3 linked regions of the Rattus norvegicus genome follow. The main gene of each other region encodes a partner of the protein of the gene in region 3 in a complex. Links are inferred from orthologs where the notes say so. Each region holds a gene or a part of one and is shown on either strand. Other genes may lie near its edges.

Region 1 (3,466 bases), on a different chromosome or scaffold from region 3:
GAGCTGAGCCGGCTGGGCAGGGCCACAGGGCGCTCCGGCAGAGGCAGGGCCCTGAGGTCTCTGAGCAGTGGGGTGAGGGGCCTAAGTGGCCCCGGTCGGAGGAGTCTGGAGCAGAAATGGCAGCCCCATCCTTCCTCCAGCCACTACCCCAAGCTACAGTGGGGGCCTATGGCCCCAGCTTGCTAGGTCACCCCCGACCCTTCCTCCAGCGCCTGCTCTCTGCAACTTGATTTCCACCTCTCTCCTGCTGCACCACCCTCCCACGACATTTCCCCACCCCATTCACTGGGTTGTCTCTGACCTTTCCCAGGGCTAGCCTTCACTGCCCTAGTGGCAGTGCTTCAGGGGTGCTTTCTGGCTCCCAGACATCTAGGGCTCCAGACTCCAAGAGGGCTGAGCCTTCTCTTCTGTCCGCAGCCACAATAGGCTTCCTCAGACGCTGGCTCGTGATGAGTCCCGCACCTTGGGCACCAGGGAGCGCCATCTGCCTCCCAGTCCGGTGTCACTCACCCCACTACCTTGTACATGACCAGCTCTCCCAGTGTCCCAGTGTCTGCCCCAGGGACACCGGGCGCGCACAGCCACCCCTAATCCCGGTATTCAGTGGTGATGCCTAAAGGAATGTCAGAAAATTTCCGGGTTTTGTCTATTGTTGACGCCTACAGGGAATGTGAAGGGAGGATCGGGGATTTGGGGACAGTTTTCAAAGTGCGGGATGCTACAGGAGCGCTAGAAACAACAGCGGAACCCTTAGGCTTGGATAGCTGTTGTTGTAGGGCTCCCAACATCCTCCAGGGAGGCTGGGCCCTCGGGGTCTGGCTGTCTCCTTATTAAGTGGCGCACTGTGGTGCGGCGGCGGCGGCGCCGTGCACCACAAGCAGTGAGTACCGAGCCCAATGCCAGGCAGATGGCTAAACTGGCAAGGAAAGAGGCCGGCCCGAGAGCATAGACCACCGCCAGGTCTCGCGCAGCGAGTGACTGCGTGCACTGTTTGAAGGCGTTGTCCGGAAAGTCTGTCAGTAGGTTGAGCGTTTGAAGTTTTGGAGACACACAGAGCAGGGTCTCAGTTTCTGCGGGACACAGGAGCGGCGTCAGATGGCAGCAGTGGCAACAAACATCATCCGCCCTGTGCCCCAGATGGCTCACCTGAAGTGGGACGCGGGTGCTTACGCAGCCAGGTGCAAAGCGGGCGCAGCGCGCAGCTGCACGCCCAGGGGTTGCCATGCAAGCGCAACACGTCGAGGGCAGGCAAGCTATTCAGCAAACCCGCCTCGAGTGCCGATAGTGAATTGTCCTGCAGGCTGAGCACCCGCAGTAAAGGGAGCGGGCCCAGGATCGAGGGCTCCAGGAGTGCCAGCCGGTTACCCGCTAGGGAGAGGAAACTCAGCGCTCGCAGAGGCGTGAAGGTGCCAGGAGACAGAGTTTCCAGCTGGTTGGAGCTCAGGTCCAGCCGTTGCAACACTCCCAGACCCCAGAAAGCTCGCGCGTGCACCGACCGAAGCCGGTTCTCCCGCAGGACTAGGTATAGCAGTGCGCCTGCATCGGCGAAGGCACCTGGAGGTAGTGTGCTCACTCGATTGCGATCCAGCAGCAGTGAGCGTACTTGCCAGCTCAGGCCCGCCGGTACCGCGGGCAGCGCCAGCGCGGAGCAATTGGCCTTGCCTCCTGGTGAACATGAACATGCCTCGGGGCATACGGGGGCCACCGGGGATTTGGAAGGGTCAGTTCCAATGTGCTCCTGGGTCCAGACTCGTCTCCACGACAACAGCAGCAGCAGCAGCAGCAGCAGAGAGAGTTGCGGCGGAAGCCGCGAGAAAAAAGAACCCCTCATGGAGGCAGCTCGAGAACAGGAGGGGACCTTGATCCCTGTGTGGCTTCGGAGTTCAGGTGACCCAGAGCTTGTCCCTGCCTCACCTGCACAAGTATTAACTCTCCCGCCCTAGCAAAACAGTTTCTGTCCCACTGCTGGTTCCTCAACTTGGGCGGGGGCTAGGCACAGAGCCAATGCCCAGTACTGCCAACCACCTGTCCAGAGCTCCAGTCTTGGCTTGGCCTTGAGCCCGGTATAGAGCTGATGAGACCATCGGCCTCCCCACTGAGACCTAAAAAGCAGGATCAAAGCCACCAGTTCTGCATCATAGAATGCAGCATGCAGTGCCTTGCTCCATACCCCAGTCACAATTTCTATTCCTATTCGGCAAAAGGACCCCACAGATCCTAAAAGAATCCCGGTCTCTTGGCAGAGGATTGGTGAAAGTATAAACACATGATGGAGCCTAACCACAAGGGAAAGACCTGGAAGTGTAGGAAGGACGACACATCTAAGGCAAAAGAGGGAGTGTAGGAAAGATGTTGCAACCCTCTCCAGCTTGGAGCTCCTGAGGACAGTGTCAGCGGAAAGGGCACTGGCCTCAGTCTGGCCACTGCAGTTCCATTTTGGTTTGCCAGCTTACAGGGCCTATCTTGGGGGAATCTGGGAAGGTAGGAGGGTCCAGGATCAGTCATCTCTTTAAGATCAATAGTAGGCAAATGCAGGAAAGAGCTGAACTGGCCAGCTGGGCTAGGAGCTAGAAACCCCAAAGGTATGGCTCAGTAACCCAGGGTGGAGACAACCACCATGATTCATGCACAAACATTACCTCATGAGGGACCTGCAAGAAGGACAGCACATAATCACTAAATACTGTTTAATTCTCCAGCCTAGCTGCTCTCCACTACACTGGAGGTGGGGGGGGAGGGGGAGGGGGTGGAGGGGGCTGTAGAGGAGCAGTCATGGCCGTGAGGGTTTGGTTCTCCAAGGACTGCATCATGGATACCTCCAGATCAGGGTCCATGAGGTGGGACTCCACGTGCACCGTGTGCAGGTCTATTTGATCTTCCTGGACCCCATAGGGCTCCTCCAACCTGCATGATGGACATCAGCATGGTCCAACAAGGCCTTGGCCACCCAGGGGCGAACAGCCCATGAGGACGTTGCTCTCAATAAAGCTGTGAGCTGCACTTCAGGAGGGGGCGGAGAGGGGACACAGCTCACCTCTGAGACTTCCTCTGACACACTTACCTGTTTTCCGAGTGTCCAGGGCACGTGTCACTGAGGGGGACAAAGGCAGGTGTGATCTTTGGAGAAATGCTCATTCTTACGCCTGGAAGTCCCCTGCAACATCTTCCTACAACCCTCATACCCAACACGCACCTTGGAAAACACTATCCCCAGCCTCTCATGACATACCACCCTAGGAAGAGGCCCCTCAAAGCATGACTAACAGCCTGGGGCCAGAATTAAAGCCTCACTCCCACTGTGCCCAATCCAAAGCTCACGCACTCCTTGGCCCGAAAGACACCAAGCGCCACAACAACGAGGGCACAGAAGCAGCTGGCACTGATACCAGCCAGCACCACAATGAGGGCAATAAGGGCCTCACGGCTGAGACCGAGGCTGCATTCACAGTAGGTTCCAGCTGCAGAA
Region 2 (3,649 bases), on a different chromosome or scaffold from region 3:
CACCGTCACTTAGGCCCCCAAAGACCTTTATCTAAACCAGCAGATGGCTAAGAGAAGGATTCCTGGAAATCAGACCAACTGATTTTTTTTAATGACTGGCTATACGCCCTGGGTCAACTACATAACTCTTTTTTTTTCTTTTTTTGGAGCTGGGGGCCGAACCCAGGGCCTTGTGCTTGCTAGGCAAGCGCTCTACCACTGAGCTAAATCCCCAACCCCAGCTACATAACTCTTTAAGCCTCAGTTTCCTCCCTGTGAGCTGAATGCAATTACTGCTTACAGCCACTATAGACTGTGTCTTCGGGCCAGTATTCTCCTTCCTGCCCGCCTTTCACTCACCCTCTATTCAACACTCAACACGGCAAAGGACACTGGAAAACTCGGTTACTTCCCCACTACGAAACTCTACTTATATCAGTCTTCGGTTAAGAATAAAATTTAAAAAGGCTTCGCCTGACCACTTATTGCTTGTGTTACAAAAAACGATGTCTTTAGCGTGATGTTAACAACCCTGTAGAACTCTAACCCCAAGGCTACCAATCAACTGTCTTACAAACGAACACACCTAAGACGCCCTGTTCTCGAGCCTTGGCTGTTGGAGTGCAGCCTCCCCATTTCAAGGTCTTGCCCTTTTGTATCTCCAGCCGATGACATCATACTTGACTGCATAGCACCTGTTTCCATCAATGAATGCTCATCCTGTGGCAGCAGAGAAATTGCAGGGACTGGGCTAGGCACCAAGGTATGCTCTTGAACAAGCATACAGTTGGGCTAGGGAGGTGGGCACACAGCGTGTAGCAAGAGAAAGATGTATGTGGCTGATGTTTGTTGAAATGCTGCTGCCTGGGCTGACCATTGGGGAGTCTCACATAATTAGCCAATGACGCTTATTGTTATTATTATTTTCAAGCTTTTTAAAAACGATTTATTTATTCTATGTAAGTACACGGTAACTGTCTTCAGACACACCAGAGAGGGCATTGGATCCCATTACAGATGGTTGTGAATCACCACATGGTTGCTGGGAATTGAACTCAGGACCTTGGTAAGAGCAGTCAGTGCTCTTAACTAGTGAACCATCTCTCCAGCCTTATTGTCAAGCTTCTTTTTTTACGTATATGAGTGTTTTGCTTGTGTGTGTATCTGCACCACCTGTGTGCCTGCTGCCCCAGAGGCCAGAAGAGAGTGTCAGATCCCTTGGAAGTTGAATTACAGGTGATTGTGAGATGAACTGCCACGTGGGTGCTGGGAATCGAGCCTCTGTCCTCTGAAAGAGCAGCCAGTGCTCTTATCCGCTGAGCCACCTCTCCAGCCCCACTGATGCCGTGTAAAAAGCTCCTTTTGTCTCTTCTGTGTCATCGACCATCTTGGATCTGCCCTTCCCCTCACGTCACTTAAGTGACACTGCCTACTGTGCCTCATGGGTATCTTCCAGGTAGTCCTTCCTGTGATTTGTTTAGGGCTAGAGAAGGAACTGATCGTGTGAAATTTGCTAGTATCCAGAACGGCACATTTTGCAGGCGGATACTCCTGTGTCGGCAACACGCAGAACTGTGGGAAGCTCTGTCAACACACTATGAACGCTGCCGGCTTTGTCGCTTGCCTAGACCGGTAGAACATGTCAGAGGTGATGCCTCTCCTAAGTCTAGAGCTGAGGTCTTCTTTCCGTGAGCAAAGCTGCCTTGCTGTAAGGAAGATACTCTAGCTTTCCGAACGCCGAGGTCCCTGTTCTGGAGAACACTGAAGAACTTTATCAATACTTAAAGGAGAGGTGAGAACCTTTATCAAACACCGTATCCGTCTCGGACCACACACCTCTCTGCATTTGCAGCTAGCTGCACGCGAGTCCTGCCAACTCACAGAAGCATGAGAGACCCCGTCACTTCAGTAAACTGTGAGATTTCAGGTGCTTTACTGTGGGACAGCATGCACCTGACATAGAGACCATGCCTCGACAGGCCTGACTTTATTCAGAGAACTCTAAGTGACCGATTAGACTCCTGTGCTAGAGAGCTGGCCTGAGTAACTGCATGGAGGGTGGCTTCAAGTGGCACAGTGACAGGCATTATTAGACTATGACAGCTGAGAGAAAAAAATCCAGATCTGATCCAAGAGTCACACAGAGGGATGGCCACAGGATGCTGAAGGCAGAGAATAAAGAAGGAAACTAAGAGCCACTTAGACCGTTCTGGGCAAGAAGGACAAATGAATGACGGTACCATTCACTGAGAGAGATCGGGAGAGGTCAAAGTCACTGTGGAGCACCCAACAATAAATGCTGAAAATTAACTTGGTGAACCTACTCTAGGTGGGCAGGCAAGTGTTCTGTTCCATGGCCACCTTGCTATGGTAAGGACGGTGTAGCTTCTAAGGCACTCGAGGCTTTGATGGCGTGCACACTTACTGATGTTTTCCCAGTAATTTGTTGTTTATTCACTTTACATCCCCAATGTGGCCCCTTCCCTCCTCTCCTCCCAGTCCCACCCTTGCAAACCCTTCCCCCATTACCACCTCCCCTTCTCTGAGAAGGGGAAGCCCTCCCCCCACCCATACCATCCCACCCTGGTACATATTTGGATGTTTCGTCAGAATAGAAAAGACAAAAACACTGGTGAAGTCTGAATACTGGCAAATCTGCACACTGCTTAGTGTGTAAGTCTTACAGCACACTGACAGTGCACAATGTTCTTCAGCAAAGGTGCCGCCATTTGTAATATATCCACAGGTAAGTGTAGGGTACAGGTACTCCCTCTCCCCACCCTCCCACTCCCTCCCTCTTCCTTCCTTCTCTCCCTCCCTCTTTCCATCCCTCTGTCCTTCCCTCCTTCCCTCCTTCCTCCCATCCTCCCCACTCATTTTAGTCCCCTCATGTTCTGTCTATGGCTCCCATCTCATAGAGCAGGAAGTGGCCTTTTAATGCTGGAGATTATAGGCCACAAAGAACTTGAAGTTATCTCCCAGTGGCACGTTCCTCCAAGTGGGCACGAACTATGGTTTACTCATGCAATAAATCGCACAAACAACCAACATTAACATGCTCATACGGATACCGGTTTACCTTTGATGTTGATTAAAATAGCAAGTGAATGGCTGGGAACCGATCTCATCTTTCCAATACTGTTGCCAGTTCATGACACTTTCCGAGTTCTTCTGGTTTTCTCTCTTACAGGGCGGGATATAGGAGCACTGGCCAAACAGAACACAGAGAGGAAAGCTATGACTACACAGGATAGTCAAAGGGAGACTTTCTATTCCTCAAATGCTTTGCTTTATTATAGTTTGTGGTCTGGGACGGACGAGGAGGCGGCCATAGTCAGGGTTAATATGGGATACCCATCCCAGTGGTCACCAATGTGCTAGTGTCCCTACTATGCGTCGTGGTTTCCCCTGTCATATTCTGCCTACCATTCTGATATCAAGACAGGAAAAGGTTCTCGACAGCGTCCAAGACAGCCTTCTCATGAGCAGATCATCACAAAACCATCTGAAAGTGTCCGACCCATCTTGGGAATTGCCGACTTGCTGACTGTTCATGGGCCCCCATAGCCATTCCTTCTTCTACAGAGATGGGCATTTTACAGATGACAAATCTAGTTTTGACATAATCTCTAGCTACAACCAAATTGACACTGCCTAACTATATTTTAAA
Region 3 (3,649 bases):
GACAAACCCTTCCAAAAATAACTTAGGAAACCCTAAAGTCTGAACATGGGTCAGTATGCTTTTTCTGTAGAAGCAGGCATTAGTGATTTAAGTCTCACGGGCCATGTGATCTTTGTCTCAACCGACAACTCTTGTTTTCCATGAAAGGAACCATGGAAAATACCTCGATATTATGAGTTGGCTGTGTCCCAGTAAAACTTTATTGGAATGTGAATTTTATATGATCATCATTCATAGTGACATTTCCAATATTGGTTTACCTTTTAGTCATTGTGAATTTTAAAAATCAGTTTTAGCTCAGTGGTCATATAGAAGCCTGTAGGCTTGTATCATCAGATTGAAGCTGCAGACCACAGCAGCCAGCCTATGGTTTCAGATATCACATTCAATCTCCTGAGACAGTGAGGGGTATGCTACCCCACTGAAACATCTAAAGAGAGAACCTCAAGTTTCAGCTGAGACCATCCAAAGAATAGGAGCATTTAATCATCATCTTAGCCAAAGGGCCTAAATGGCTCTCATTTTACCCTTCCTTCCTTCCTTCCTTCCTTCCTTCCTTCCTTCCTTCCTTCCTTCCTTCCTTCTTCCTTCCCTCCCTCCTTTCTTTCTTCCTTTCACTTTCTTTTTCTTTTTCATTATTTCATCATCTCTTCCTTCCTTCCTTTTTTATTTGAGACTAGGTTTCTCTGTGTAATCCCTGGAACTCACTCTTTAGGTCAGGCTGACCTCCAACTCAGAGATCCACCTGCCTCTGCCTCCTAAGTGCTGGGATTAAATTGTTTATCACCTATTTAATGGACGCTAAGACTTACTTTCTTCCAATATACCCAAACATCCCCTTTTATTGTCTTTGTTCTCCTAAAAATTCCTATCCCCGTCTCCTCATCACAAGTCTACATGGTGCACCCTATTGTTCTAGAAGGTAGTAATGTGTGAATATATGCTTACAGGAATTTATAATGTAAATAAAGTAAATACTTCTGTGCATATTACAGATGAGTATATAACATGTATATAGTGGCAAAATAAAAAATAATAGCTGTCCTGCAAGCCCTCCTGGTATTTTACAGATTCTTTAATGGTAAATAGAACCAACAAGGGAAAACATATGCTTGTATGTATGCTTGCTGTATGTACTAAACTTACTATAAAGATCTATATGTTCTCCAAAATGCTGAACATAGAGTTTTGAACCAGTTTTTGACTTCATAAAAGAACCTGGTGGTGTACAGCAGCCCACATGGTGACCTGAGTTTTACCTTTTTACCCAGTTCTCCACTTTCTCAAGTATACTTTTATCCATTAGAAGAGGTACCTTTTGCAATTTTACATATGATGCTGAAGAATTATTTCTTTTCTATTATTCTGAATTAAATTAAACATTTTGTTTTTACTATAGTTCAAATAATAGCTTTATTGGGTACCTTTGTGCTATTATAATAAAAATGTCTGAGATAGCTAATTCACAAAGAGAAAACAGTAGCTCACAGTTTAACAAGTTCGAAGTCTAATGCTAGGCTACCCCAATTGCCTGATCTTTGCTGAAGTGGTAGATGATTATAGCAGGAGATCAAACATGAGCAGAGAAAAAGGAGATGGGTGTGTCCGTGTTTCTCTTCTTGTACTGATTGTCTTTGGGGAAGACATGGACGGAGTCAAGGAATCATGTGAAAACTCCCAGGTGGTTGCACATAAACTGCCCCACACCTTAAATAATCTAAAGACCTCAGCAAGGCTTCAACTCAACAAAGATCTACCATAAAATAATGCCACCCTGAAGACAAAGACTTTAACCACAATGGGCCCTTGGGGGACACTCTTTGAACAACACCTCAATCACAGCAGTGGTACACAGTAAGCAGCAACTAGTGTTAGCCTTCCTCTCTGCATAAGTGATGCTTTCTCCCCTTATACCAATATTATAAGCACTTCTTCTTATACTCTTGCACCCCTTTCTGTTACAGACTCGAAGTGAAGCTGCCATGACTGTCCTGAGTGGTCATGTTGTAGTCTGCATCTTTGGGGATGTCAGCTCAGCCCTGATTGGCCTCCGGAACCTGGTGATGCCGCTTCGTGCTAGCAATTTTCACTATCATGAGCTCAAACACATTGTGTTTGTGGGCTCCATCGAGTACCTCAAGCGGGAGTGGGAAACACTGCACAACTTCCCCAAAGTATCCATATTGCCTGTAAGTCAGGGTCACACTATTTGATGTCCTGTTCTTCATCTTTATATTCACAAGAGGAAGTCCCAGGTGGCTGTAATTGTTGAAGCTTTGATCATGTGTCTGCTCCTTTATGTGGCTACAGGCCTGAGGATGTGGGAGTCCTTCCCCTGTACTCTGCTAAGAAACTAAAAGCCTGGGAGGCCTTATTAAAAGAATTTGCAGCCAAGTGCAGCCCCTTGTCAAGGGTGAAGTTGAGCTACCTCTACATGCATTAATGTACCACTGTCTAAACTCTCTTTCCTGGGTGAAATTTAGAATGTCACCCTATTTTGAGATATATATATATATATATATTATACATGTATAATATATATATATATATATAATTATTGGCATTTTAATTTGACACGGTTAATCTTAGAGAAACATAGACCTGTCCCATCTTCCATCTGATATTGACCAAATAAATAAATAAATAAAGAGCAAGTTTATCTCTACTGTATGGAATTTCATACCTCCTCTCTGGGGAATCTGGGAATTCATCCTTTGTCTAGAAACCCAGACATGTTTTCCATGGCTTTGTGTGTTTGTGTATATATGTAAACACACACACACACACACACACACACACACACACACACACACACACACGTGTGTGTGTGTGCTTATTGATCACAAAGATTGCTAGGACACCAATCTATAAAAGACAATTTGGGACTCCACAATTTAGTATGAAGATAAGGGATGGGTAATTTAAAAGCCAAATGACTAGCAACTTTATAATTATAATATATTATCCACAAAATTTCAGACTTAAAGACTAATAATTCTTTTCAAAGTTTTATATGGTTTATATATGCCAGAAATTCAGGAAAATATTGCCTATCCTCCAACTATTTTTATTATCAAGTCATACCTAAAATTGAGGGGTATGCAGCCACTTAGCTATCAAGAGGTCTGTTTTTCCCTACTTTTTTATCAGCTTGTAGAGCAACAGAAATGCAGCCAGAAGAGCCAAGCAGTATAATGTGTTAAAGAATATATAAGGGGCTATTTACAGATAGCACCCTTGGGTGCACTATGTATCTCCCATAATGCCTGGTCCAACAGGTCCCTCAATGCAGAAAAAACATTAGACAGATCCGGTTTGGATACAGGACCAAACCCTGACTGCTTTAATGTATACCTGCAGTTAAAGATGGTCACTTGTTACAGTTCACTCTTTAAAGAAGCATATCCATATACTGTATATCTGTTGCTAAATTCAGAAATATGACCAATCAATTTGATTATCTCCTTCTGTGGTCATCACTATTTACGTGTGATATATCACATGACCCCTTTAACTCTGAAGGTATCTCTGTAAAAAGTGAACTAATTTGCTAGGTGCACAGGTGGATGTTTATGTAGGCAGGACTTGTGGCATGACCTCTGATATTTTTGCATATGCCTGTGTTTCCTTCTGTGTGACCCCATCCACA

Evidence for each region.
Region 1: the proteins of Kcnma1 (region 3) and Lrrc26 are in contact, whole or in part, in a cryo-EM structure (PDB 7YNZ), measured with the Homo sapiens proteins. The link is inferred for Rattus norvegicus from reciprocal best matches to the Homo sapiens genes KCNMA1 and LRRC26. Residues at the interface, in NP_001154824.1 of Homo sapiens: Pro78, Cys79, Asp80, Ser81, Arg82, Gln84, Trp88, Ala92, Ser93, Val96, Thr97, Glu155, Trp158, Met159, Ser161, Val162, Trp165, Cys206, Leu226, Leu227, Phe229, Gly230, Leu231, Phe233, Ile234, Asp251, Phe252, Pro256, Phe259, Val260; in NP_001013675.1 of Homo sapiens: Gly204, Cys205, Gly206, Cys207, Ala208, Arg236, Leu237, Ala249, Phe250, His252, Cys253, Ala254, Gln255, Leu257, Arg260, Asp261, Leu262, Val264, Val265, Tyr266, Leu268, Gly269, Pro270, Ser272, Phe273, Ser276, Leu277, Cys280, Leu281, Leu283.
Region 2: the proteins of Kcnma1 (region 3) and Kcnmb4 are in contact, whole or in part, in a cryo-EM structure (PDB 6V22), measured with the Homo sapiens proteins. The link is inferred for Rattus norvegicus from reciprocal best matches to the Homo sapiens genes KCNMA1 and KCNMB4. Residues at the interface, in NP_001154824.1 of Homo sapiens: Phe98, Phe99, Leu102, Phe103, Leu106, Leu107, Arg109, Thr110, Tyr113, Leu114, Thr116, Val117, Asp238, Leu240, Trp241, Leu244, Pro327, Trp328, Asn330, Gln332, Leu367; in NP_055320.4 of Homo sapiens: Thr11, Glu12, Ala13, Glu14, Lys16, Ser17, Leu20, Leu24, Ile34, Phe35, Cys38, Trp39, His105, Thr164, His165, Val183, Leu186, Ile187, Leu190, Thr191, Ala194, Leu197, Ala198, Lys200, Ala201, Met204.

The regions. Positions count from the first base shown.
Region 1 is NC_086021.1:28,499,006-28,502,471, reverse strand, and holds Lrrc26 (leucine-rich repeat-containing protein 26 precursor), read right to left. Parts: upstream 1,956-3,466; 5' UTR 1,832-1,955; coding exon 1,147-1,831; intron 1,071-1,146; coding exon 751-1,070; 3' UTR 629-750; downstream 1-628. Other genes in the region: Tmem210 (transmembrane protein 210 precursor), read right to left, coding at 2,715-2,904, 3,062-3,091, 3,323-3,458. UniProt on the Homo sapiens protein: Auxiliary protein of the large-conductance, voltage and calcium-activated potassium channel (BK alpha). Required for the conversion of BK alpha channels from a high-voltage to a low-voltage activated channel type in non-excitable cells.
Region 2 is NC_086025.1:53,977,510-53,981,158, forward strand, and holds part of Kcnmb4 (calcium-activated potassium channel subunit beta-4), read right to left. Parts: intron 3,187-3,649; coding exon 3,059-3,186; intron 1-3,058. UniProt on the Homo sapiens protein: Regulatory subunit of the calcium activated potassium KCNMA1 (maxiK) channel. Modulates the calcium sensitivity and gating kinetics of KCNMA1, thereby contributing to KCNMA1 channel diversity.
Region 3 is NC_086033.1:967,412-971,060, forward strand, and holds part of Kcnma1 (calcium-activated potassium channel subunit alpha-1), read left to right. Parts: intron 1-1,964; coding exon 1,965-2,189; intron 2,190-3,649. UniProt on the Homo sapiens protein: Potassium channel activated by both membrane depolarization or increase in cytosolic Ca(2+) that mediates export of K(+). It is also activated by the concentration of cytosolic Mg(2+).